Linked DNA regions of Cricetulus griseus. Each later gene encodes a partner of the first gene's protein in a complex. Links are inferred from orthologs where the notes say so. Each region holds a gene or a part of one and is shown in the gene's direction. Other genes may lie near its edges.

What was found.
Region 2: the proteins of Rps6ka1 (region 1) and Sntg1 are in contact, whole or in part, in a crystal structure (PDB 7PC8), measured with the Homo sapiens proteins. The link is inferred for Cricetulus griseus from reciprocal best matches to the Homo sapiens genes RPS6KA1 and SNTG1. Residues at the interface, in NP_002944.2 of Homo sapiens: Arg728, Lys729, Leu730, Pro731, Thr733, Thr734, Leu735; in NP_001274742.1 of Homo sapiens: Gly67, Phe68, Gly69, Leu70, Ser71, Ile72, Lys73, Gly74, His78, Ile80, Ser85, His118, Glu119, Val122, Leu125, Arg126, Arg141.
Region 3: the proteins of Rps6ka1 (region 1) and Synj2bp are in contact, whole or in part, in a crystal structure (PDB 7P74), measured with the Homo sapiens proteins. The link is inferred for Cricetulus griseus from reciprocal best matches to the Homo sapiens genes RPS6KA1 and SYNJ2BP. Residues at the interface, in NP_002944.2 of Homo sapiens: Pro731, Ser732, Thr733, Thr734, Leu735; in NP_060843.2 of Homo sapiens: Arg18, Gly22, Leu23, Gly24, Phe25, Asn26, Ile27, Val28, Gln33, Ser45, Arg46, His78, Val82, Phe85, Arg86.
Region 4: the proteins of Rps6ka1 (region 1) and Magi1 are in contact, whole or in part, in a crystal structure (PDB 5N7F), measured with the Homo sapiens proteins. The link is inferred for Cricetulus griseus from reciprocal best matches to the Homo sapiens genes RPS6KA1 and MAGI1. Residues at the interface, in NP_002944.2 of Homo sapiens: Pro731, Ser732, Thr733, Thr734, Leu735; in NP_001028229.1 of Homo sapiens: Arg480, Gly481, Phe482, Gly483, Phe484, Thr485, Val486, Val487, Gly488, Asp490, Lys499, Ser500, His532, Val536, Phe539, Gln540.
Region 5: the proteins of Rps6ka1 (region 1) and Sntg2 are in contact, whole or in part, in a crystal structure (PDB 7QQL), measured with the Homo sapiens proteins. The link is inferred for Cricetulus griseus from reciprocal best matches to the Homo sapiens genes RPS6KA1 and SNTG2. Residues at the interface, in NP_002944.2 of Homo sapiens: Pro731, Ser732, Thr733, Thr734, Leu735; in NP_061841.2 of Homo sapiens: Gly82, Gly83, Leu84, Gly85, Leu86, Ser87, Ile88, Lys89, Gly90, His94, Ser101, Lys102, Phe104, His134, Val138, Leu141, Arg142.
Region 6: the proteins of Rps6ka1 (region 1) and S100b are in contact, whole or in part, in a crystal structure (PDB 5CSJ), measured with the Homo sapiens proteins. The link is inferred for Cricetulus griseus from reciprocal best matches to the Homo sapiens genes RPS6KA1 and S100B. Residues at the interface, in NP_002944.2 of Homo sapiens: Ala697, Met698, Ala699, Ala700, Thr701, Ser703; in NP_006263.1 of Homo sapiens: Ser42, His43, Phe44, Leu45, Glu46, Ile48, Val53, Val57, Ala84.

Annotation. Positions count from the first base shown.
Region 1 is NC_048595.1:19,421,641-19,425,140, forward strand, and holds part of Rps6ka1 (ribosomal protein S6 kinase alpha-1), read left to right. Parts: intron 1-60; coding exon 61-186; intron 187-388; coding exon 389-478; intron 479-758; coding exon 759-917; intron 918-3,500. UniProt on the Homo sapiens protein: Serine/threonine-protein kinase that acts downstream of ERK (MAPK1/ERK2 and MAPK3/ERK1) signaling and mediates mitogenic and stress-induced activation of the transcription factors CREB1, ETV1/ER81 and NR4A1/NUR77, regulates translation through RPS6 and EIF4B phosphorylation, and mediates cellular proliferation, survival, and differentiation by modulating mTOR signaling and repressing pro-apoptotic function of BAD and DAPK1.
Region 2 is NC_048595.1:235,446,428-235,449,927, reverse strand, and holds part of Sntg1 (gamma-1-syntrophin), read left to right. Parts: intron 1-1,822; coding exon 1,823-1,975; intron 1,976-3,500. UniProt on the Homo sapiens protein: Adapter protein that binds to and probably organizes the subcellular localization of a variety of proteins. May link various receptors to the actin cytoskeleton and the dystrophin glycoprotein complex.
Region 3 is NC_048598.1:122,173,805-122,177,730, forward strand, and holds the start of Synj2bp (synaptojanin-2-binding protein), read left to right. Parts: upstream 1-1,126; 5' UTR 1,127-1,251; coding exon 1,252-1,315; intron 1,316-3,926. UniProt on the Homo sapiens protein: Regulates endocytosis of activin type 2 receptor kinases through the Ral/RALBP1-dependent pathway and may be involved in suppression of activin-induced signal transduction.
Region 4 is NC_048601.1:50,151,311-50,154,810, forward strand, and holds the end of Magi1 (membrane-associated guanylate kinase, WW and PDZ domain-containing protein 1), read left to right. Parts: coding exon 1-650; 3' UTR 651-3,431; downstream 3,432-3,500. UniProt on the Homo sapiens protein: Plays a role in coupling actin fibers to cell junctions in endothelial cells, via its interaction with AMOTL2 and CDH5. May regulate acid-induced ASIC3 currents by modulating its expression at the cell surface.
Region 5 is NC_048600.1:32,419,981-32,424,265, reverse strand, and holds the start of Sntg2 (gamma-2-syntrophin), read left to right. Parts: upstream 1-1,485; coding exon 1,486-1,557; intron 1,558-4,285. UniProt on the Homo sapiens protein: Adapter protein that binds to and probably organizes the subcellular localization of a variety of proteins. May link various receptors to the actin cytoskeleton and the dystrophin glycoprotein complex.
Region 6 is NW_023276806.1:262,463,716-262,465,954, reverse strand, and holds the end of S100b (protein S100-B), read left to right. Parts: intron 1-1,582; coding exon 1,583-1,723; 3' UTR 1,724-1,739; downstream 1,740-2,239. UniProt on the Homo sapiens protein: Small zinc- and- and calcium-binding protein that is highly expressed in astrocytes and constitutes one of the most abundant soluble proteins in brain.

The DNA of each region.
Region 1 (3,500 bases):
TGTTAGGGATGGTCCCTGGGCGGTAGCACCTGGGGTCGAGCCAACTCTTGTCTTCTGCAGCAACTCCACGGGAAGAACTTAGTTTTCAGTGATGGCTATGTGGTAAAGGAGACGGTCGGCGTGGGCTCCTACTCTGTGTGTAAGCGCTGTGTCCACAAGGCTACCAACATGGAGTATGCTGTCAAGGTTGGCTTCCCAACCACGTCTTGATTAAGGCTGCTGGGTTGAGGGTGGGGCCCGTGTACCCGTGGCACTTCGATGGGAGGTCTGTGGATTATGACAGATGTACGGCTGATTGTCCCTGGTCCTGTGGTATGGGCTTCATGGCAGAGGGAATCGGACAGTGGGGTCTGTGCCCCTGACATTGCCATGTGCTCCCACTCTTCAGGTCATCGACAAGAGCAAACGGGACCCCTCAGAGGAGATTGAGATTCTTCTGCGGTATGGGCAGCACCCCAACATCATCACCCTGAAAGATGTGAGTGGTGGGAGGGCCCTTGTTTTTCACTTCAGGGCCTCTTCCCAATGCTCATGAGAAGAGGCAGGGGTCCCTGAGCCTTCCCTCCAGGCTCAGGCATTCTCTGAACCCTCTATAACCATCAGGGATGAGGCCAGCACCCACTGTCTAGCAGGATGGGAGCTCACCCGGTGGAGGTCCAGCAGGGTCACTGGAATGTGGCAGTACCCGGCCCTGAGGCTTCCTCGTCAGGAGAGCTGGTGTCTTGAGGGTCCCAGCCTGATGGTGAGGTCTCTGGCAGGTGTATGATGATGGCAAACACGTGTACCTGGTGACAGAGCTGATGAGGGGCGGGGAGCTACTGGATAAGATCCTACGGCAGAAGTTCTTCTCAGAGCGGGAGGCCAGCTTCGTCCTGCATACCATCAGCAAGACTGTGGAATACTTGCATTCCCAGGGGGTGAGTCTCAATTCGGGGCGTCATGACATGGCCAGAGTGCAAGAACTTTCTGTCTCGGGCGTGGCAGTCTCCAAATTGCCAGTCAGAGGGGACTGGGGAATGGGTAGGTAGGTGACTCTAAGAGGAGGGAAGACCTGAGGCCAGACTGAGGCGCATCTGTCCAGTACCTACTGTGTGCCATACACCACACTATGGATTAATTTAAGGGAAAGTTTCCTTTGTTATTCCAGTTGGATTTCCTGAATTAGATGTTGTTACTGGCCCTTGGCAGGTCAGAAGTCTGAGGCTTGGAGTATAAGGTCATTTTCCTGGAAGCCCACAACTGAGGAAAGTGGCAACAGGAAGTGGGGGGGAGAAATAGATTTTCTTTGGAAGGTGCAGGGGTCCCTGTGGGGGAGCTTCAAAGGAGAGGGTGACCCAGATGCTAAGAAAGAGGGAGTAGCGGGGCTTTGGTGGCGCACACCTTTAATTCCAGCACTCAGGAGGCAGAGGCAGGTGGAGCTCTGTGAGTTTAGGCCAGTCTGGTCTTCAGAGCGAGTGCCAGGACAGACTCCAAAGCTACAGAGGAGCCCTGTCTCAAAAAACTAAAAAAAGATGGAGGCGGTGAAGGGAGTGGGTGGGCCAAAGAGCGGGGTGTGGCCTTCTTTGTTGACTGATGTTGCCCTGGGAATGGGCCAAGTGGCAGGGTAAAGTTCCTCATGGTTCAGTTCCCTGGAGCTTCTCTCTGGGTGGTGTGATGTTTGGGCGTGCTTCTGATCACACAGCGAGGGGCTTAGGAATGAAGTCAGCCTGGTGTCAGAGGCCTTTAATCCCAGCGCTCAGGAGGCAGAGGCAGATGAATCTCCATGACTTTGAGGCCAGCCTGGTCTACCTATGGAGACCTTGTCTCCAAAGAGGGAAAAAAGAAAACAGTCAGACATGGCAGCCCCCTGTAGTCCCAGCTCTTGAAAGGCCAAGGGAAGAGGATCATGGCAAGGTGGCAGACAGTGATGTGCCACCATCCCCTCACATGTATGTATTCTTGAGAGCGCATTTGTATAGGCGAGTAGATGGACAGGTGCGTTTGCACGTAAGTGCCTGAGTGTGGAGGTCAGAGGACACACTACACCGTAGGTATTGAGGCAGGGTCTCGTGCTGACTAGCTAAGCCGCTTCCTCCAGAGTCTCTCTCCACCTCCTAAGTGTTTAAATTACAAGCCGATTACCATATCTGCCCGGAGTCTACATGGGTGCTAAGTAAAGGTCTGAACTCTGGTTCCCATGTTTACATGGTGTCCTATTTTGCTTTCAGTTGCTATAATAAAACATTATGATTGGCTGGGCAGTGGTGGCACATGCCTTTAGTCCCAGAACTAGGGAGGCAGAGACAGGTGGATCTCTGTGAGTTCGAGGCCAGCCTGGTCTCCAGAGCGAGTGCCAGGATAGGCCCCGAAGCTACACAAAGAAACCCTGTCTCGAAAAACCAAAAAAAAAAAAAATATATATGCAGCTGGGCAGTGGTGGTGCATGCCTTTATTTGCATAGAGTTTACAGCAATGTCGTCTGCTGTGTGAGAGTTTCCTATTTGTAAGCCATGTGTATGTAAAAGAGATCAGTAGTTCCTTGGAACATCTGAGTTCTGAGCTTGTTGTTTCCTGCCGGCACCACTTACATTACTTTGTAATTCACATCATTCCTGTCAGTGTTTCTCGTAAACTGAAACTTGTAGCTCCTCTAGCCCTTTTCAGTACTATGCCTCACCATCGGCACCATTCTGTGCTTTGATGCTGCTGAGTGGGAGAAAGGGTCTTTTTTTGTCCATGCAGAGGATCAAACCTAAGTCCTCATGTGTGCTAGGGGCACACTGCCCTGAACTCTGAAGTCTACTTTACTTTCTTGCAGGGAGAGTGGGAATAAGGTTGAGAAGGCCAACCAAGGTCTGGGACCCAAACGAATCACATAGAAGGCTTACCTAGTTTTTGTTGATTGTTGTTGTTGTTAGTTTGTATTTTGAGACAGGGTTTCTCTGTGTAGCTCTGGCTGTCCTAGAACTCCCTTTGTAGATCAGGTTGGTCTCAAACTCAGAGAGCCACCTGCCTCTGCCTCCCCAGTGCCGGGAATTAAAGGTGTACGCTACTACCATGCCCTGCTTTTGTTTATTATATTTGAGACACGGTCTTGTAATATAACTTAGGCTAACCTGAAACTTGCTATGTAGCCCAGGCTTTTCCTAAACCCACTCTGTGGCCTGGAACTCACAGAGATCAGCCTACCTCATCCTCCCCAGGGCTGGGATTATAGACCCAGCAAGAATACTTAACTATTACAGGCCACTGGCCTTTGAGGAATTCCAGTTTTCTTTGTCCTTATAGACTATAGAGGAGAACTCTGGAAATGGGCTTGTTGTGACTGTATCCAACTGTTGGCCTCCAGGTCCATGTTTTAGTGACTGGGATGTGTCCTCACAGGTCCGAAAGCTCAGCTTCTCCTCTACTCATACCTAGAGGCCAGTCAGGACCTGAGCTAGCTATGTAGAACAGTGGGGCCCTGAAGTGGAGGCAGGGGCGCGAGGTCACTTGTCTCTCGGTGTGACGTTGTACTTGAT
Region 2 (3,500 bases), about 220 Mb from region 1:
CCCTTCTTCCAGTAGGTGTATGTGGGGTCTCCTCCTCTCTCTGGTGGTAGGTGGAGGGCTGAGGCTCAGGCAGCAGGCTCAGGCTCAGGCAGCAGCCAGAAGGGAGAGGGTGGTAGAGAGATAAGGGTGAGGTATGTCCAGACTCAGGGTGGGCCTTACGGTCTGGGCAGGTCCACTCTTGTCCAGGGGGGCTCAGACAGAAGCGACCAGGGTTGGATGGGGGAGGTTGTGGGCAGAGCAGCACCAAGTCTCACCTCAGACTCAAGCGGCAGCCAGAGAACAGAGTGCTTTTCTAGTTTTAACAATGTTTATTTTAAAAACAAGGTTTCTGGTTCCCTGTAGCAATGTCTTACAGAAAATTCCTGTGTATATCAATCAAAATAATAATGAAACTAACAAAGTATATTAAGTAAGAACTCAAGAATGCAAATAATCTATAATAATGTAAAACTTCATTCATTATTTTCATTATCTTGCCACTTTTAAAAATTATCATTTTAAATAACTAGCTTCCATCTGAATGCATCACACACATCCCCACATGTATCAGATACCTTTGGATATAATCTTCTTTCCAGAAAATAGAACTTCACTCCACTAAGTTAAATTGGGAGCAAAATCAAGGACATTAATTCAGTTAAGGAGCTTAAGCCATTAAGTGATAAGACATTTATCAAAGGCATAATTATACTTGTACTCATAATGATCTGTACCAGTGTATTCAATGCTGCTTTGATTTAATATCTGTCACTGGGACACTCCCCAAATACAATATTTCCTCCAAACACCAAAAGAACCTTGTCACCATTTATTTGTGTTCTATGCTCACATTGTCTTGTTAATTTTTTTGCAATGCCTATGCCATCTTCTTAGCTCCCTGAAAGTTTTCAGGCAGCAAGAATCAGAGTTAATTCTATAATACTGGAAGTAACTTCCTTTATCCTTCCAGTATGTACCTACAAGAATCAAATTGGAATGCAAGGGAGTTAGATATTCTGTTTTAAATCATAGCTAAAGCCGAGGGTTCAATGTATTTGCACTGTTTAGTTATGGTACATCTGCATGCATTCCTCCATCAATAGCTAGATACCAATGAGTAGCCCCTCAAAAATTTACAGTATATTGAATAAGTATTTCAAATTATGTATCTGAGAATGTAGTACAGACTGTTGTCCTGTACTTTTTCATACATAGCATATCTGAATTTTCAAAGTACCTTAGAGTTGAAATGTTTTGCATTAGGGGAACACCTTGGTAAAAAATGTGGGACCAAACCAAGAAATTTCTAGGAGCAAAATCTTTGATACAATGAAATAAAATTACACATATAAAGAAAATGTTTGCCATAGGGGAATATAGAAAGCAATTGGTGCAGAAAATTGCACTACGTTTTTCCTAATTTTCTATGGGGTCATGAATTTAATGATTTCCAAAAAAAATCATTTCAGTGAAATTTTCTCATGACTGTGAAAGATGCCAGCATAATCATAAGCATTATTACATCTCAGTGCCCAGACAGTTTGCAAGGAAGTTGGGGTGTTGTGTATCAGGCCATTTTGCAATCACAGATTTTTTGTGTATGTGCATTCAGCACTGTAGTTATTCCTTTGTTACTAAGAAATTTGGGTGAATGATCACAGAAAATGGATTCAGATGTGGGATTTAAAATTTGTTTTAACCATTTTGAATTAAGATTAATGACAGTACAAAATTCCATGTGTATTGTGGAATCTACCCATTGTATCAAGCAGCTCAGTAGGCATTTGCTGCGCTGATTAAGAATTGATGTATGCCAGCCTGTGTAACTCCAGGTTTTCATCAGGACAGTGACCTGCTGGATCAGAGGAAATACTGCTTTACTATGCAGTCTGAGTGTGGGGAGGACTTCTACTTCTCTGTGGAGCTAGAGAGTGACCTTGCCCAATGGGAACGAGCCTTCCAAACAGCCACCTTCCTAGAAGTGGAGAGGATACAGGTAGGAGACTATGGAGGGCTTTGTGTAATATCTGGGGACATCTAACCACTCACTGGAGTTCAGAAGGTATCTGAGCACAGTTCTGTGAGGTTGCCTTCCACCTCAAATGATTCCACTGTTTAGCCTTTATTGAAAAATGAGTAAGTAGGCATATCCAAATAATCATTGAAGTTTCTTTTTCATGAATTTGCCTTCATAGGTTACTTCCTATTAAATATTCCTATGATTTGAATCTTATATAGAAAATGCTCTTGCTGTTGTTCCCTATTTATGCGGTTGTTTCCTTTCTTCAGACATGGCCAACTAATTTCTAGATGTCTTCCTTTGAACTATGCCTTTCAAAACAATGCACAGTATGTGAAGCTTTCTTCAAAGATGACTTCATCCATGGGCCTCAATTTCTATGGCTTCTTCCCCGATTCCTTTCATAGATGTTCTGCTGATTCTCGCTACTTCCCCCGGTAGCAAAAAAGTTATTCACCGTTTTCTTTCATTCAGTGTTTCACTGTTTTCTTCAGATGACTTACACCATAACATTAAAAACTTATTGCCATAGGTTGCTTATTTTATTCCTCTGTGGTTTGAAGTCTAAGATATTTTGCAAGCCACAAGTGGCCAGTGGTATTTACTGAATTGTTGTTCTCCTGTATGAAGCTATATCTAAATCAGACTTCATAAACCCTTTAACCTCTCAAATACATGAGTATCTGAAATGAGACATATCACAGAATTGGTTCTGTGGTTGACCTGGAACAAGATACAAAAAATTTAAAGTTAATTAGGTTTTTGCCCCTTGGAATAGAATCATAGATCAAGCACCAGCATATGTGGACACTTAGTTTTTTAAACACATATTATAACTGAAATGAAAATACTCAACTCTTGGTTTGACTCATATTTTATAACTTCTCTTTTTAACTACACTAGGAATGGGCACATTTAGTTGAAAAAAAATGGAATTTCATTTTCACATTTGAGAATGTGAATGTACTAGCAAGAAAATATTGTTTAATTTCTGTAGAATGAATATCTTGGTTTCCTTAAAGTTGGCTAAAATTAAAATTATGGACCTGGCAGTACATGTCTGTAATCCCAGCAATTGGGAGGTAAAGACAGGTAAAAAAGTTGAGTGTTGTCCTCTGCTATATAAGTCTGTGCTACATGAGACCCTGTCTCAACACTGGAAAATAGCAATAAATAGGAAAATGTGAGCTAATGAAAATTAGGCAAAAAAGAAGAAAGCTAATACCTTGATTAATGCTATAGAAGAAGTCATGAATTAAAGTGTTTTTCTTTAAAAACATATTTGTATTACAAGGACTACAAAGCAACATTTTCTACCTGAAATACATTTATTTAATTATGTATGTTTTGTTTTGAACTTGTAGTAAACACAGAATAAATACTATCATATTTATTTGAAATGATGACACATAAAAGCACATATTTTGTGTACATTGAACAGTCTCATTTAAATTTCTAATTAATCTTTAGAAAATATAGTGAATATTGAAACATAAAGCAC
Region 3 (3,926 bases), on another chromosome or scaffold:
ACTTCTGACTTGTTTTGATTAATTAACAGTGGTTGCTGGCTCGATTTTTAACTGTAAGGTAGAATACCTTTATGGTGATATTCACTCTTCAATTCTCTAACATCTCCAGTAACCAATCCCTTTTTTCACCCTATATACATTTATGGTCACCTTCCTGGTTCCTAAGGCTTTTTTTTTATCTTTTGATGTTTGAAAATTCCTTCAACCTGTTTGGAATGTCCTATTTCAAAAGTCAAGAGGGCTAGGAATGTCACATCTTAAGTCCTGCAATCATCTTGTCAAAAAAATGACATTTCCACCCCCACCTCCACACCCTCCACCCCTGCTTTGGAGTATTTTTCTTGAGTAAGCCTATAATTTAATTAATCCCTTCTCTGTATCTTTGTATGTATACACATTTCTTAAGTTAGATAAGCCTGCTAAAGACACAAACCAGGAATATATTGCAGCAAATACTTTAAACAAAGTGTCTTGTCAGTCGTATGGTGCTCCAGTTTCCTGTCATGTGTGTCAGTGTAGGTGCCTTGCTTTAAGCAGTGAACACTACACACACACACACACACACACACACACACACACACACACACACACACACACACGAGGTGGGGGAGGGAGGGAGATAGGTTGTATTTTTTCCCCCTGTAGATAAATTATATTAACACAGAGTGAACTGCCAGCGAATGAACATGACACAGTGTTATCAAGTTCTTTTACACGGGGCATGGATGTATTGGGCTGTACCCACGTCACACAAAAGGAAAAGGTACAACTTTCTGCCCAAATATGCAATCTCACCAGTAGTTTGCCCGTGATGCCTTTCCCAGTATGGTTTGAAGCTCATAAGATAAAATCCTCCTGTTTTTTTTTTTTTTTTTTTTACATTTGTGGATATTTTGAGATTTTATTTAAAATATCAACAGTATCAATCTAATTACGAACCATAACTTTATTACCCTCTTTCCGTGCCCTCCTTCCCACATGCTTTCCCAAGGTAGGTGAGCATTGTGCCTTACTCATGGCACCCCAGGATCTGCCTTGGGAATGGGGCGAGGTAACGGAAAACGCTGGTGGGCGCGGAGAACCACCACTCCCAGCATCCTTGGCGCTCCCAGTGCCCGCGGTTTCCTCTTCCGGTCCGGCGGCTTAGGAAACTGTAAAAGCTATGCTGGGGACGCGGCGCGGAGCTTGATTCACCTTCACCTGCGCGGAGCTCCAGCTGACCCCGGGCTTCCGCCCGGTGAGCCGTCAGACATGAACGGACGGGTGGATTATATAGTTACGGAGGAAGAGATCAACCTGACGAGAGGACCCTCGGGTAGGCGCGGGACGTGGAGGGAGTCATTGCTGAGCTCGTTGGTTTTGCGGAGCCAGGTTTACTGGCTGGAGAGCAGGCCGGCCCGACCAAGTTGCTTCCAAGAACGCCGTCGGGCACGACGAAAGAGCCCATTGGCATCCTTTGTTAGCTAGATAACGGACCCTGGGACTCGGCCTCACAACCCAGGGAAAGTGCCGCAGGCATTTAGGGCCAGGAAGGGTTTCTGTTTGCTGGTAGTAATAGAAAAGTCTAGACGAACGGCCGCTGCTTAGACAGCCTGTAGTGGACGCCACATCCGTTATTCAGTTGCCTGGATCATCCTTGTTTATATGAGGGCCCGTTCAGGTAAAAACGAGAGCGGTAAACGGCGTGGTTTTCTGAATGCATAGCAATTTCCCTGGTGCTAGGGTCCCTGTCTGCATTTCTGGGAAATTAGTTTACAGTGTCAACTGGAATGCTAAAGCAGGAGGATACCCACTACAGAAGTTTCCAGACCTAGCGCCACCCCAGAATTACTTGGGCTTGTTTTGTTTTTACATTTTTTTTTATAATGAATTAAAACGAAAAGGCTATTTTCTAGTTTCATTTTTAGGGATATGGATTCAGTATGGATTAAACAATTCTTTAAATACTAAATGTGATTCTGACAGGAAAATTCCCACTCAGCCCTGCTGTGTCTTCCTCACCGCTGCTCATGGCCAGACTGGCATTATTATTATTATTATTATTATTATTATTATTATTATTATTATTATTATTGTTTTGGTTTTTCGAGACAGGGTTTCTCTGTGTAGCTTTGGAACCTATCCTAGCACTCGCTCTGGAGACCAGGCTGGCCTTGAACTCACAGAGATCCGCCTGCCTCTGCCTCCCGAGTGCTGGGATTAAAGGCATGCGCCACCACCGCCCGGCGCCAGACTGGCCTTTAAACATGACTACATAGTGCTGTTGTCTCCCTTGGACTATTTTTAGGTTTAGGGTTAACTACTTATGGCCAAGTTTTTATCTAACAACTTACCAGTTTGTCTGTCAGTCTGTCTGGTTGGTTTTAATTCATTGGCAGAGTAATTTAACTGATGTATGCTATAGGTTCTTGTCTGTAGAGTGGAGATGGTTATGAAGTGCATTGTGTTTGACATATAGTGTTAGGATGAAGCCAGTTACGCCCTGAGAAATATTTAGAACATTGTCTTGACATATGGTAAGCAATGTGTATTTGCTATTATTGTTATCATTAGTGAATGAATGGTTAGACTGACCCCAGTAAGTTCTGCTAAATACAGTATTCCAAGAGTTGAATAAATCATTGGTTACTGTGGATTTTTATTCTACTTAGAATATTCTGTCAACTTTTCTCATCTGGAAGTTTGCAATAACTTAATCACTACTGATAGAGTGTTCTGTATAAAACACAACTTTCAGAATTAGTCATACTTTTTGTCTTCCTGTTGGGAGAAAATTGGAAGTTGGTCTTATTTATGGGAGTAACACACTGCTAATCTTTGTGGTTTATACAGAAGCTCAGTGCTGGTTGATTTTATTTTTTATTTCATTTGTCAACTTGGCAGAAGATAGAGTTATCTGGGAAAAGGAACCTCAATTGAGAAAATACCTCTATCAGATTGCCCGTAGGCAGGCCTGTGGAGCATTTTCTTGATTGATATTGATGTTTGATGATCAGCTCACGGTGGGCAGTGCCACCCTGGGCACGTGGTCCTAGATTGTAAGGAAGCAGGATGAGCAAGCCAGTAAGTAGCGCTACTGTAGTTGCTACGTCCAGGCTCCTGATGGAGTTCTCTTTATGATGGAATGTTACCTGAAAGTGTAAGATTAAATAAATCACTTCATCCCTTAGTTGCTTGTGTTACAGTGTTTTGTCATAGCAATAGAAAACCTAAGATAAACTCAAAAACTTTTGCTCAAAGACTTTTCAATATGCTCAAGTGTTTGAATTTGTCCTATTTTAGAAAACTATTCTCTCAATATTTATTTACTTTTTAGGCTAGCATGGTAGAAATTGAATTTTTATTGCATTTATTTAGTTATTTGTGTGAGGGGCAAGGAGGCCTGTAGAACTCAGAGGACAACTTTCAGGAGTCAGTTTTTTCCTTCTATCATGTGGGTCCCAGGGATTGAACTCAGGTTGTCAGAGTTGGTGGCAAGTGCTTGTGCCCACTGAGCCATCTCACTCAGCAGCCTCAGATCTTTAAATAAAAGTCCATTTTTTTGTGTGTACTTTTCATCTTCTCTTCTTAGGATCAGTTGAGATACACCTTTCTGATTGCTTTGCAAGTACATAATGACATCTAGTTCTTTAAATATACTTGCATGATACTACTTTTTATGATGTTTGAGGTTGTTTTTTGCCTAATGGTAAGGACCTAATGATATAGTCTCTTTGCAGTGGTATTACAGTATTTCCAGGGTCTTCCGATGAGAGCAGATTCCTGATATTATTATTCTTGTTTAAGCACTAAATTCAACATAATATCACTGTTTGAACCTCTGGGCATTTTAATGGGCATTGTCTAATTTCTAAGCAATTTTCTTACAGATCTAAAGTTTCTACTCTTAGTATTTCCATCAAGCATTAGAGCTAGGGAAAGTGCCC
Region 4 (3,500 bases), on another chromosome or scaffold:
ACCCACCCGATCTTCACAAATCATCACAACATGGGGAAAAGCGGGCACACGTGAAGGATCCAAAAGGCAATAGGGAGCATAGCAAACAACCCAACGAACACCACACCTGGAATGGAACTTCTAGAAAATCCGACAGTGGGGCATGCCGGCCCAAAGACCGGCCACCCGATGCATGGAGAGACGCACAGCCGGAGCGGACAGCCACCAATGGCCCCAAGAAGAGGTCCCCGGAGAAGCACAGGGAAGGCACCCGCAGTGCCGACACCACTTTGGAAAGGAGGGAGAAGCATGAGAAGAGAAGGGAGATGTCCCCTGAGAGGAAGCGAGAGCGGTCACCCACCCGGAGACGAGACAGCTCCCCCAGCCGCCGGCGGAGGTCCTTGGAAAGACTCCTGGATCAGAGACGGTCCCCAGAGCACAGAAGAGGGGGCTCACCTGAGAGGAGAGCCAAGTCCACCGACAGGAGGAGAGCCAGGTCCCCCGAGCGCAGGCGAGAGCGGTCTCTGGACAAAAGAAACCGGGACGACAAGGTTGGCCACCGAGAAAAGGACGAGGCTGGTCTGAAGCCTGAAGCTGGGAGAAGCCCCAGAAATCCTCCAGAGCAGAGAAGGCGGCCTTACAAAGAGTGTAGCACTGACCTCAGCATCTGAGACTCCTGAGTCACACTGCAACCTTTACCGTGTCAAAGGTTCTAAGAGGAAGGTCGCAAACATGGGATAATTTAGTTTCTTACCTGAGAAAGCATCTACACCTGACAGACCTATGAATAGTAATGGACATTTTATGCATTTGAAATCTTATGAGAAAAAATATATATATGAAAAGTCTTGTTGTGCCTGATGTATAATATTAAAGAAAGTATTTTTAAATGCATACTTTTTTTTGAAAATTATTTGCCAAAATAATGGCCTAAAGGGATATACATTTTGTTTCTTCACAAGCTATACAATTGTTGAGAATTGTTCCCTCTTAGGGCAAGCTCTTTCTCTTCTAGATAAATGGGGCTGTTGGTCATGTCCTCTAAGTAAATGCAATGAAATTTAACTCAGTATAAACTGTTAGAAGTGATGTAGTGCTGTACTGTAAACCCCTGTTTTTCAGAAAAACAGAACACACAAAAAAAGCAAGCTTCTATTTGTACAAACTAAGGACCTTTTAGGATGGATTAGGGTGGCCAAACTGTGTGACAAGAATACTACTGCAAATGAAGGATATTTATGACGACAGTGCACAGCGCTAAGAAACTTTATGATCTTGAGTTAATAGTTGATTCAGAGTACGGTTTGTGCCCTCCCTGGCCCAGGAAGGTGCAAAAACAAAGTTGGCTGCCATTAACCAAATACAGCCTTAGCTCAGATGGTCAGTTTCATCAACTCCGCCACGGAACACATCTCACAGCAGTGCCCATCACAAATTGTCAGCCTTTAGGAGGAACAGACAGGCTGCTTCTGGGTTGTCTGGTCCAATATGAAACTGAGTAGGTGGAATGTAGGTAGGACCTTATGCCTCTGGGATGAGGGAGATATAAATGTCTCCAATATGGAAAGAATGCCCTCCCCCACTGTTTAGCATAAGCCCATGGTTGCCTTCTGCAGAGGGCGCAGAGGAGTGGACTTTGGTAGAGGAAACCTCTCTCGTGATATTTGAAAAGCATTGGGGCTGCTTATTCCTGAATGGATGATTATGCACTTTGAAACCATAATCCAAGTCTTACCGATTGATTGAAAGGCAAAGAAGAAAGTGGTAACACCCATGATTCTTGACCTTCTGAGAAAGCTCCGTCCCCATGACCCTGTTCTTTGTATCTGGGGATAGCAAAATAAAATGGAATGTTTTTTCTTTCTAAAATAGACCCATTTTCTGAACCCTCAGATGGTGTGGTTGGGTGAGCTGTAGCCCTGAGATGTGGTTTAAGTGGATTACTGCCTAGCTGAGCCAAAGTGTTTGCTTGTACCTGTTGGACCACTACGGCAAACTGCTGCTGACAGTGCATTTGTATTTCTGTAGTACTGTTTTGCATTTTCCATTCAGACACAAAAACTTTGCAAGTCAATCACTGTTGTTCCCATGGTACTGTATTAGGGGAGGGAAGAAAAAGACAAAAAACAAAAAAAAGAAAAGAAAACCAGCCAATCATTGTATGTAGAGTTTAAAATTGTAATTAATAGAGCCTGTTGGAAAAAAAAAATAAACAACTGTTGCCTTTTTTTGTATAAAAGAGAATTTATGACAAAAGTCTAGCTGTGAGGAATGTGGTATGTGTCTATATTTCTGAATATGAACAGATTGATTCTTGGGAATATACTTTAATGTAAAGTAAATCAGGTATGTAAAGTTGTTTTAAAGAGGGAGACTGTATAAGTAATCACTAAAGCTTTAGTTGGCGCTATCATTTCTCCACGGAGAGCCTACTCATGAATAATCAGGCATTCATTTGCATTCTCTGTTCTTCACTCTTTTATTTCATGCTTAGTGCTCCCTCTGTGTTGATGAAAAGCAGTGTGTGGGCCAATCTTTTTATAAAACACTATGCACATATAAATATTACATTGTTCATAGCTTTATTTGACTTGGGGTTTATACAAGAAATTACACCAAGTAGCTATAGTTAATGTGGACGTGATCAACGTTCTTTTCCTGAATCAGACACAATGTACATTCCGTAGCTAAAGGGGGCGGGGAGTCTGTGATTGCTACTTTTATTATCAGAGTTCTCCCTACAAAGCATGCACTGACTACAGTGCTAATGCTGAATGGCAATGTATATTTCATCCATTTCCTGAGAGCTAACTCTGAGGTATTACACTGAAGGCTCTGCTGCTGGGATTTTTCTCACTACTTGTAGCATGGTCCATGATGTGACTAGTTAATTCTCCTGATCACAGTCTGAGGGTTTTGAACAAGTAAAAGAGTCAAGGATGGTTTTTCGATTGCCTCCTGAAGTTAACATCAAGGTGTCTGTCTCATTGTAAGAAATGGTGTTCAGCATTTAAAGTCAGTGCTAACCACCTGAGCCTGGCTTGGTATCTGAGGAATTTTGCTGTAGCAATTTAATCTTAATTCTGTACATCAGATTTGGTCTGAAAGTATTGCACTTTCAAAGTACAGAGAACTATACACTAAGCAGAAAAGTAGAATTCTCTTCAATCTACTGTAACATTTGTTGGAAGCAGACTCTTGTGAGCTTCCTCTCCCCACCCTTCCACGTCATGTAAGAGTGCTGATGAGGTATGATGGATGAGTATGTTGTATGATTAAACCAAACCATTTAGGACCATCCCCCTCCACTATACAATTGATGCCTGAAAGAATGTTGGGTGGGGGAGGACTCAATAGCCTACTTGTATTTTTTAAGTTTCTTTTGTGAAAGATTTTTTAAATTCATTTTTACTGTAAAAATACATGGAAGTGTGTATGCATTCCATAACCACTATTGTTTCTGGCTTGGTATCTTCTTTGTCTCCATGTGGTCTCAAATGGTTCAGGGTCAAGTAATCACT
Region 5 (4,285 bases), on another chromosome or scaffold:
AGAGATTGAACTCATGTGCTTTTCAAAATACAACTTCAAAATAAGTTACATGATCTCATGCTTATGCTAAATTGTTTAATATTCATTGTCCAGTCATCTAAGGCATGTATTTTATACTGGACAAGGATAAAGGGATGGGCATAAGCCTCTTTGTGCATGAACCAAAGCTGTAGAATTGTAGGCTGAGGATAAATAAGACTGGGAAGTCTGAAACACCTTGCTTCTGTGTCACAAACCCAGGGCTGTTTAGTGGTCAGTTGTAAATGGTTTGTTCCACATTTGCTTGTCCATCATGGGGCCATATGAAAACCACACATTAGACTTCCCAGTTTCCCTAATAGTGCAACAGTATAGCCAACATGAGCATCCCCCAGGATGCCTGCCTGTGAGTCATAGGGCTGGGGCATATGACCTGAAAAAGGAGAAAAATATAGGTTTGCTTTTTACTCAGGTGTTGGCCAGGCCATTGGCAAGGGTGCAGGCAGGCACAGTCTTTTAGGCCAAACTAGTTTCCATTTGCATTTATTCTAGGATGGTGTGAATCTATAAAACCAAATACTGCTTTTATGATGCCTTTTGACACAAACCTGATACAATACAAGAAACTCTTAACTGAAACTGGTGACTAAGTTGGAGCCCTTTTGGAAAGTGTGGGAGGCAAGATGGAATCGGGGCCCCGGCCTTGAACATCAGAAGGAGCCCTCACAGTGATTGAGGACTGAGGCCTAAGTAGATGCCAAGAGTGGGACACAAGGAATGGAGTTCACTGTAGTGGAAGGACTTGGTACTTGTGTGTGTGTGTGTGTGTGTGTGTGTGTGTGTGTGTGTGTGTGTGTGTGTGTGTTTCTCCAGAAAGTGAGTTTTGGAGTTTGCTGGGCTGGGTTATTGTGTAGAGATCCGCAAAGACCAGAGGTACCCAAGGCTGTTGTCAGGGCAAAGCGTTGCCACACTCAGAATCTGAGAAGCTTTGCTAGTGGAAGTGGTCACAGAGCATCTGTAAGTGCCAGTGATGTTATCATCAGAATCCACTGGGAATAGCGCCATAGTCCCCCATGGCCCAGGTGTCCTCTTAGCCTTCCAGTCCTAAGGGAAGCGGGCTTCTGACCCTGCCCCAGCTTTGCACTTTGCTGGCCAAAGTGGGAAAGTGATGGTCGTCCCTTCAAGGAGGTGGGAATCCTTCTTGCAGCTCTCATAATCCAGTCCAGCTAGCGCTGACTAGAGGTGGAAGGGCAAAGCTGATGGGCCGGGTTACCGGGCATAAGGCGGGGCTTGATGGTAACGGGCGGAGCTTGGTGGGCGGTGAGAAGGATAGTAGGGGCCGGGCTGTTGGGAGGTGGGCGGGGTTCCGTGCCTGCCCAGCTTGCTAGCGCAGTGGCTGCTGGCTCTGTCCGCCCCAACCCATCCAGAGAGGGGCGCGGGCGCCTTGCAGGCGCTGGACTGGGGAGCTCCGGAGCCCGAAGCGCGCGCCTAGCCGCGTGGGCGGCGATGAGCGCCGAGGGATCGCAGTCCCTGGCCGCCCCCCGCGGGCGTCCTAGTCACCTACTGGTGCCCGCGCGGGTGAGTGGGGTCCCCTGAAGGCCATCTTCTGCCACCCCTGAGTCCCTTCCGTCGGTCCCCTGCTTCCCCTTCTCTCCCAGAGCCCCCTCCTTTCTTCGCGTCCTTGTGTCCCCCTGTCCGGGTGGCTCTTGTGGGCGGGGGTTGGCCCTGGGCCCTGGGCACAGTGGACACCACTAGCCCCTGGGCACCGCAACCTCGTCTTTCTTACATCACAGCTACCAGCACGCAGGGTTTGATTTTTATCTTGAACATCTGGGTCATGGGGCACAGGTGCTTTCCTTTACTGCGTGGTAACTACGGTCTTCCAGAACGTGAGGTTTGGGTTTTGCCCAGCATTTCTTCAAAGGAATGGTCCCTCTGGCCCCAGGCAGTGGCTCTTGCAGCAACTCGGGCACTATGCAGGGGTTTTTGCTGTCCCTCTGATGGGGTGTGGTGCCAACTGCCTCTGCCTATCTCTTGGGCCACCAGCTCAGGACCTCCAGAAATCAAGGGAACCCTGAAGGGCCAACTTTGCAACATTTTTTAGAGATTATTCTAGCTTCTTACCCCCACCCGCCCCAATTCTTATTTTTAAATAACAAACTATTGATGGACAAAACCCAGAATTGTTGGCTTAAACAAAAACGGAAAGTTCTTGGAAACCTTCAAGTTGCCACCCACACAGCACAGCCGAGAGTTCTGGAAAGGGTGCAAGACAGCAGCTGTTTATCATGGCCTTAGGAAGCTGTGCGCCTGTGTGTCCTGGGGTGCAGTCACACCTCCCCTTTAACTTTGCTCAGGAACCCAAACCCTCAGCATTACAGGAGATGCAGGTCCTTTTAGGGTAATAAAGGTTTCTGAGACTGCAAGGCTGGAGTGTCTGCAAGCTGTCCAGTCTTCTGAAATAGGTAGCACACAGTGGCATGTTTAATGTGTTGAGACTAATGTGTCTACTTTGCAAGTTGTACCATACTAGATGATTTCCTCGATGTCTTGAACGTTTTTGGTGGAATGTTGTGGGATTTTGTTGTTGTTGTTTAATACTTTGTAATGTGAATAGTTACCCAACTATAGCAAATGGGACACAAACCTTAGAGAATACCTTGGGTTACCTGGAAATAATAGAAAGCACGTACAGAAGCTCAGGGATCGCTGGCTTTCTGTTTCATGATTCTCAGGACTTTAAATAGGATATCCTCCCATGATGCATTTTGGGAAGTATTCTTGCAACAAGTCTTGTTAGTAACTCTTACAATTAGAAGAAGAACTTAAGTGGTTTATTTTACTTTAAACCTACCCATGAGTTTTGGCAGACTTCAGTTTTAAGTGCATGCATTACCTGAAAGCCTCCAAATAGGCTCATTGAACTCCATGTCAGTCACTAAGTTGCTAGACAGTGCAAGACCTGCGCAGTGCCTCACTGGTAACAGCAGCCTTGGTGATGTGAAATGGCCCAACAGAACTGTACTTGAAGGAAACTTTGCCCCCATTGAGGCCATGTATTTCAGTAATCGTGCAGAGCATGCAAGAGATTTGCTGTGATGCAGTGCTAAACCCCATCAAGAGAGGCTTGAGTTCTTATTCAAATTCAATCTGCCAAGTTTGATGTTTGCACATTCTCAGCATCCCAACATTGTGTTGACTGTACTTCATGTTGCAGCACTTGAACCTTTGACGGGCAGTGTTTCCTCATTAATAACAGGAGCATAGACATTTTCTAGAAATTACTCAGTTTTTAGCAATTACTATGTATAACATTAGCGAGCTTACAATACCTTAGCTATGTGATCTTTTCAATTATCAGAACTTAGTGCATCTACTTAGAAAAAATAATTATAAGATGAAGATGGCACTGAATCTATTACATTCCTGCTTTTATTTTTTTGTCTGAAGTCAAAAGTTTAATGTGTTCTTTATAATGGCAATTGGGTTTGAATCGTGGCAATTGAGTTGGATTTGGTGCCTTGAGCACTTTTCTAAGTTAGGTCAGTTCATGAAGTTGTTTTCTGAGGATCAACCGTCTCATAGCTTGAGAGTCTGCAGTTCTAAGCAGGACTTGAATTTACTGAACATTTTCTGTTTTTAAGTGGCCATCCTTAATCCACAACAGTGTGAGCTGGCAAGCTGCAGTCTCATAGGGTGATGTGCCCTGCCTGTGGGAAGGTTCACTTAGTAACGATATCACTTAGCAGTTTCTCCAGAGCTGCCATTGCTGCAGAGAAGTTGGGCAGACACTTTGGGATCCTGATATTACCCCTTGTTTCCTGCTGCTGTTATATGCTCTGCCTTCTTTCAGACACTTTTGATCTCACCCATGGAATTTCTTTTGGTGCCTGTGACATCATAAGCCAAATCCAGGTATTTTAAAACAGGGAGTTGCCTGTTTTTACCAGGAGACATGTCTCATAGTGGACATTTGAACAGAACCTAATTTAGAAAGCTGTGTTTACTGAAAAAAAAAACATCAGAATTTTATCTTTTTTCTGAAACATATGTGACAACATCTTATATCTATATATCAACATCGTTTTCAATTTTAATATAGATATATTTCCCAGGGCAACTCACGAAATGCACTTTAGAGAGTCTGGAGGAGGTAGCATTGAAGCACCTGATGAGAGGGAAGCTGTTGCACCCAGATTCTTTGTTATTAAATGGTTACATTCTCTGGAGCCTGGTTTTGTGCTCTGCCATGAGCATATGTAATTAATTACATCAGGTAGGGTGAGTTACACTGAAGAAAGCACCC
Region 6 (2,239 bases), on another chromosome or scaffold:
CCACAGGCTTGCTGGAGAAGTCTCCAAATCTGCTTTGAAGAACTAATTTCTCAGGCATTCAGATTCCCGAAGAGACCACTACTCCACTTGCTTAATCAGTTATAGTCCCACCCATTCTATCTTTCGATGTAACCATCTTTAAAGGGGAGTACACAGGGGTGAGGTCGAGCATGTCTGGCTCTTCACATAGAATGGAAGCTCTATTGGTAGTAACTTAAAATACTCGCTACCACCATGATTTTAGAACAGAAAAAAAAAAGAGCATATGATGTCACATTTATTAATGTTACAATATCGAGGTATCATCCATATTTGTTGGCCTGGTTTAACAAAAGCACTAGAGAAAATCAACTCAAAGGAGGGAAGGTTTATTCCGCTCATGGTTCCAGCCCATGGTTGTCAGGCTGCACTGTGTGAGGGCCTTTGATGAGGTCAACCATCATGGCAAGGATCAAAGCTGCTCACCCGGTGGAGGCAAACAAAGAAAGGAAGTGACCTCACTTCATCCCAAAGGTCCTACCACCTCCCAGTGGTGCCAGCGGTGGGCCCCAAGCTGCTTACACATGAGCCTCTGGAAGACATGTAGAACCAAAATCACAGTCCCTGTGGTGTAAGTGAAAGAACTATACTGTGCCATCTATATTTTGGGAGATATTTAAAAGTCTTCATGAGCCCCTCGGAATCACCATCTTTCACGCCTGAATCTTTTGTATTTAGGGAAGCACGTGACTTCACAGAGCTCTCCTGGCAGGGACGGGGGTGGAGGGAGTTGTTAATTAAAATGGTCAGAACTGGAATCTTCCGTGCTCAGAGTCTGCATCCTTCCCACTGGTCTTCAGGCCTGAACTCTTGGTGCATCAGCAGCCTGACCTTTGTCACTCAGTGGTAGCCTTACCACTCATCAGGCTTCGGTGTCAGGACTATCAGGAAAAAGCCTACGACATGTAGGAAATAAGCCAAGACGATAAAAGAACAGAACAGAACGGCAGCTCTGACGTGTTCCCAAGTGAACGTTAAAATCCACATGGCTCCCAAACACACACAGGCTCTCCAGCACTGAGTTCATTTTTTTTTTAAAGATTTATTTATTATGTATACAGCGTTCTGTCTGCTTGTATGCTTGCACGCCAGAAGAGGACACCAGATCTCATTCAAGGTGGTTGTGAGCCACATGTGGTTGCTGGGAATTGAACTCAGGACCACTGGAAGACCAGCTAGTGTTCTTAGCCACCGAGCCATCTCTCCAGTCTGAGTTCTTTTCTTTAAGTCACTGGCTCAGGTTGAGATGGGATTCACACATGTTCCAGGTACAATCTGTTACTTCTTGATTATTTCCCTATTTTAAAGTAACCCAGGTCCCACTAGACCAAAGGCAAGAGGAGAGGCACAGACTCCACCCCACTTTCCTGTGGCTGACTGTCCCTCACTCACAGAGGACTGCTAGAAGTTTTCATAACCTGTATTGGGATTTTTTTTTCTGATGCAAATTATCACCCTGGTACTTTGAATAACATTTTGATAGCCCTGAATCCCATCTAAAAAGGACTTCATCAGCTTTTCTTTTTTTCTTTCTCAATCTCAGGAAATCAAAGAGCAGGAAGTTGTGGACAAAGTCATGGAAACACTGGATGAAGATGGAGATGGAGAGTGTGACTTCCAGGAATTTATGGCCTTCGTCTCCATGGTGACTACAGCCTGCCATGAGTTCTTTGAACAAGAGTGAGACAAAAAAAAAAAAAAAAAAAAAAAAAAAAAAAAAAAAAAAAAAAAGTAGCCAAGCTGTTCCTGTGGCAGACATGAAGGCCAGGAAAGTAAGCAGAGTGGAAGGCTTGCAGGCTTGAAGGAGCGGAGCTCTCCATCCACATATAACTAATTAGGAAGCTTGATTTGCTTTGGGTATGAGAAACTGAAAGGCTTCCCAAAAGCTGCTTTAAGTTAGCACACATCATTATTTCTGCTACATTAGGCATTCCTGTGAACTGTCTGGTCCCAGGAAGTGTTGGTTAAGAATCACTTAGGGGACAAATTCAATGCTGGGCAGTACAGCATGTGTGGCAGATCATCGTGCCCCTGAGAAGCATGGCCCAGAAGAATCACAGCTGCCCACCAACAGCAAGCAGTTCTCTAGGACGGCATTCTTAATGCTTCCAACAGACCCCCAAATCCACAGCTGGATCCACTGTCCCTGGAAGAGGCTGTTTTTCCTTACATCTTCCTTACGCTGTTTGTGCAAATATGC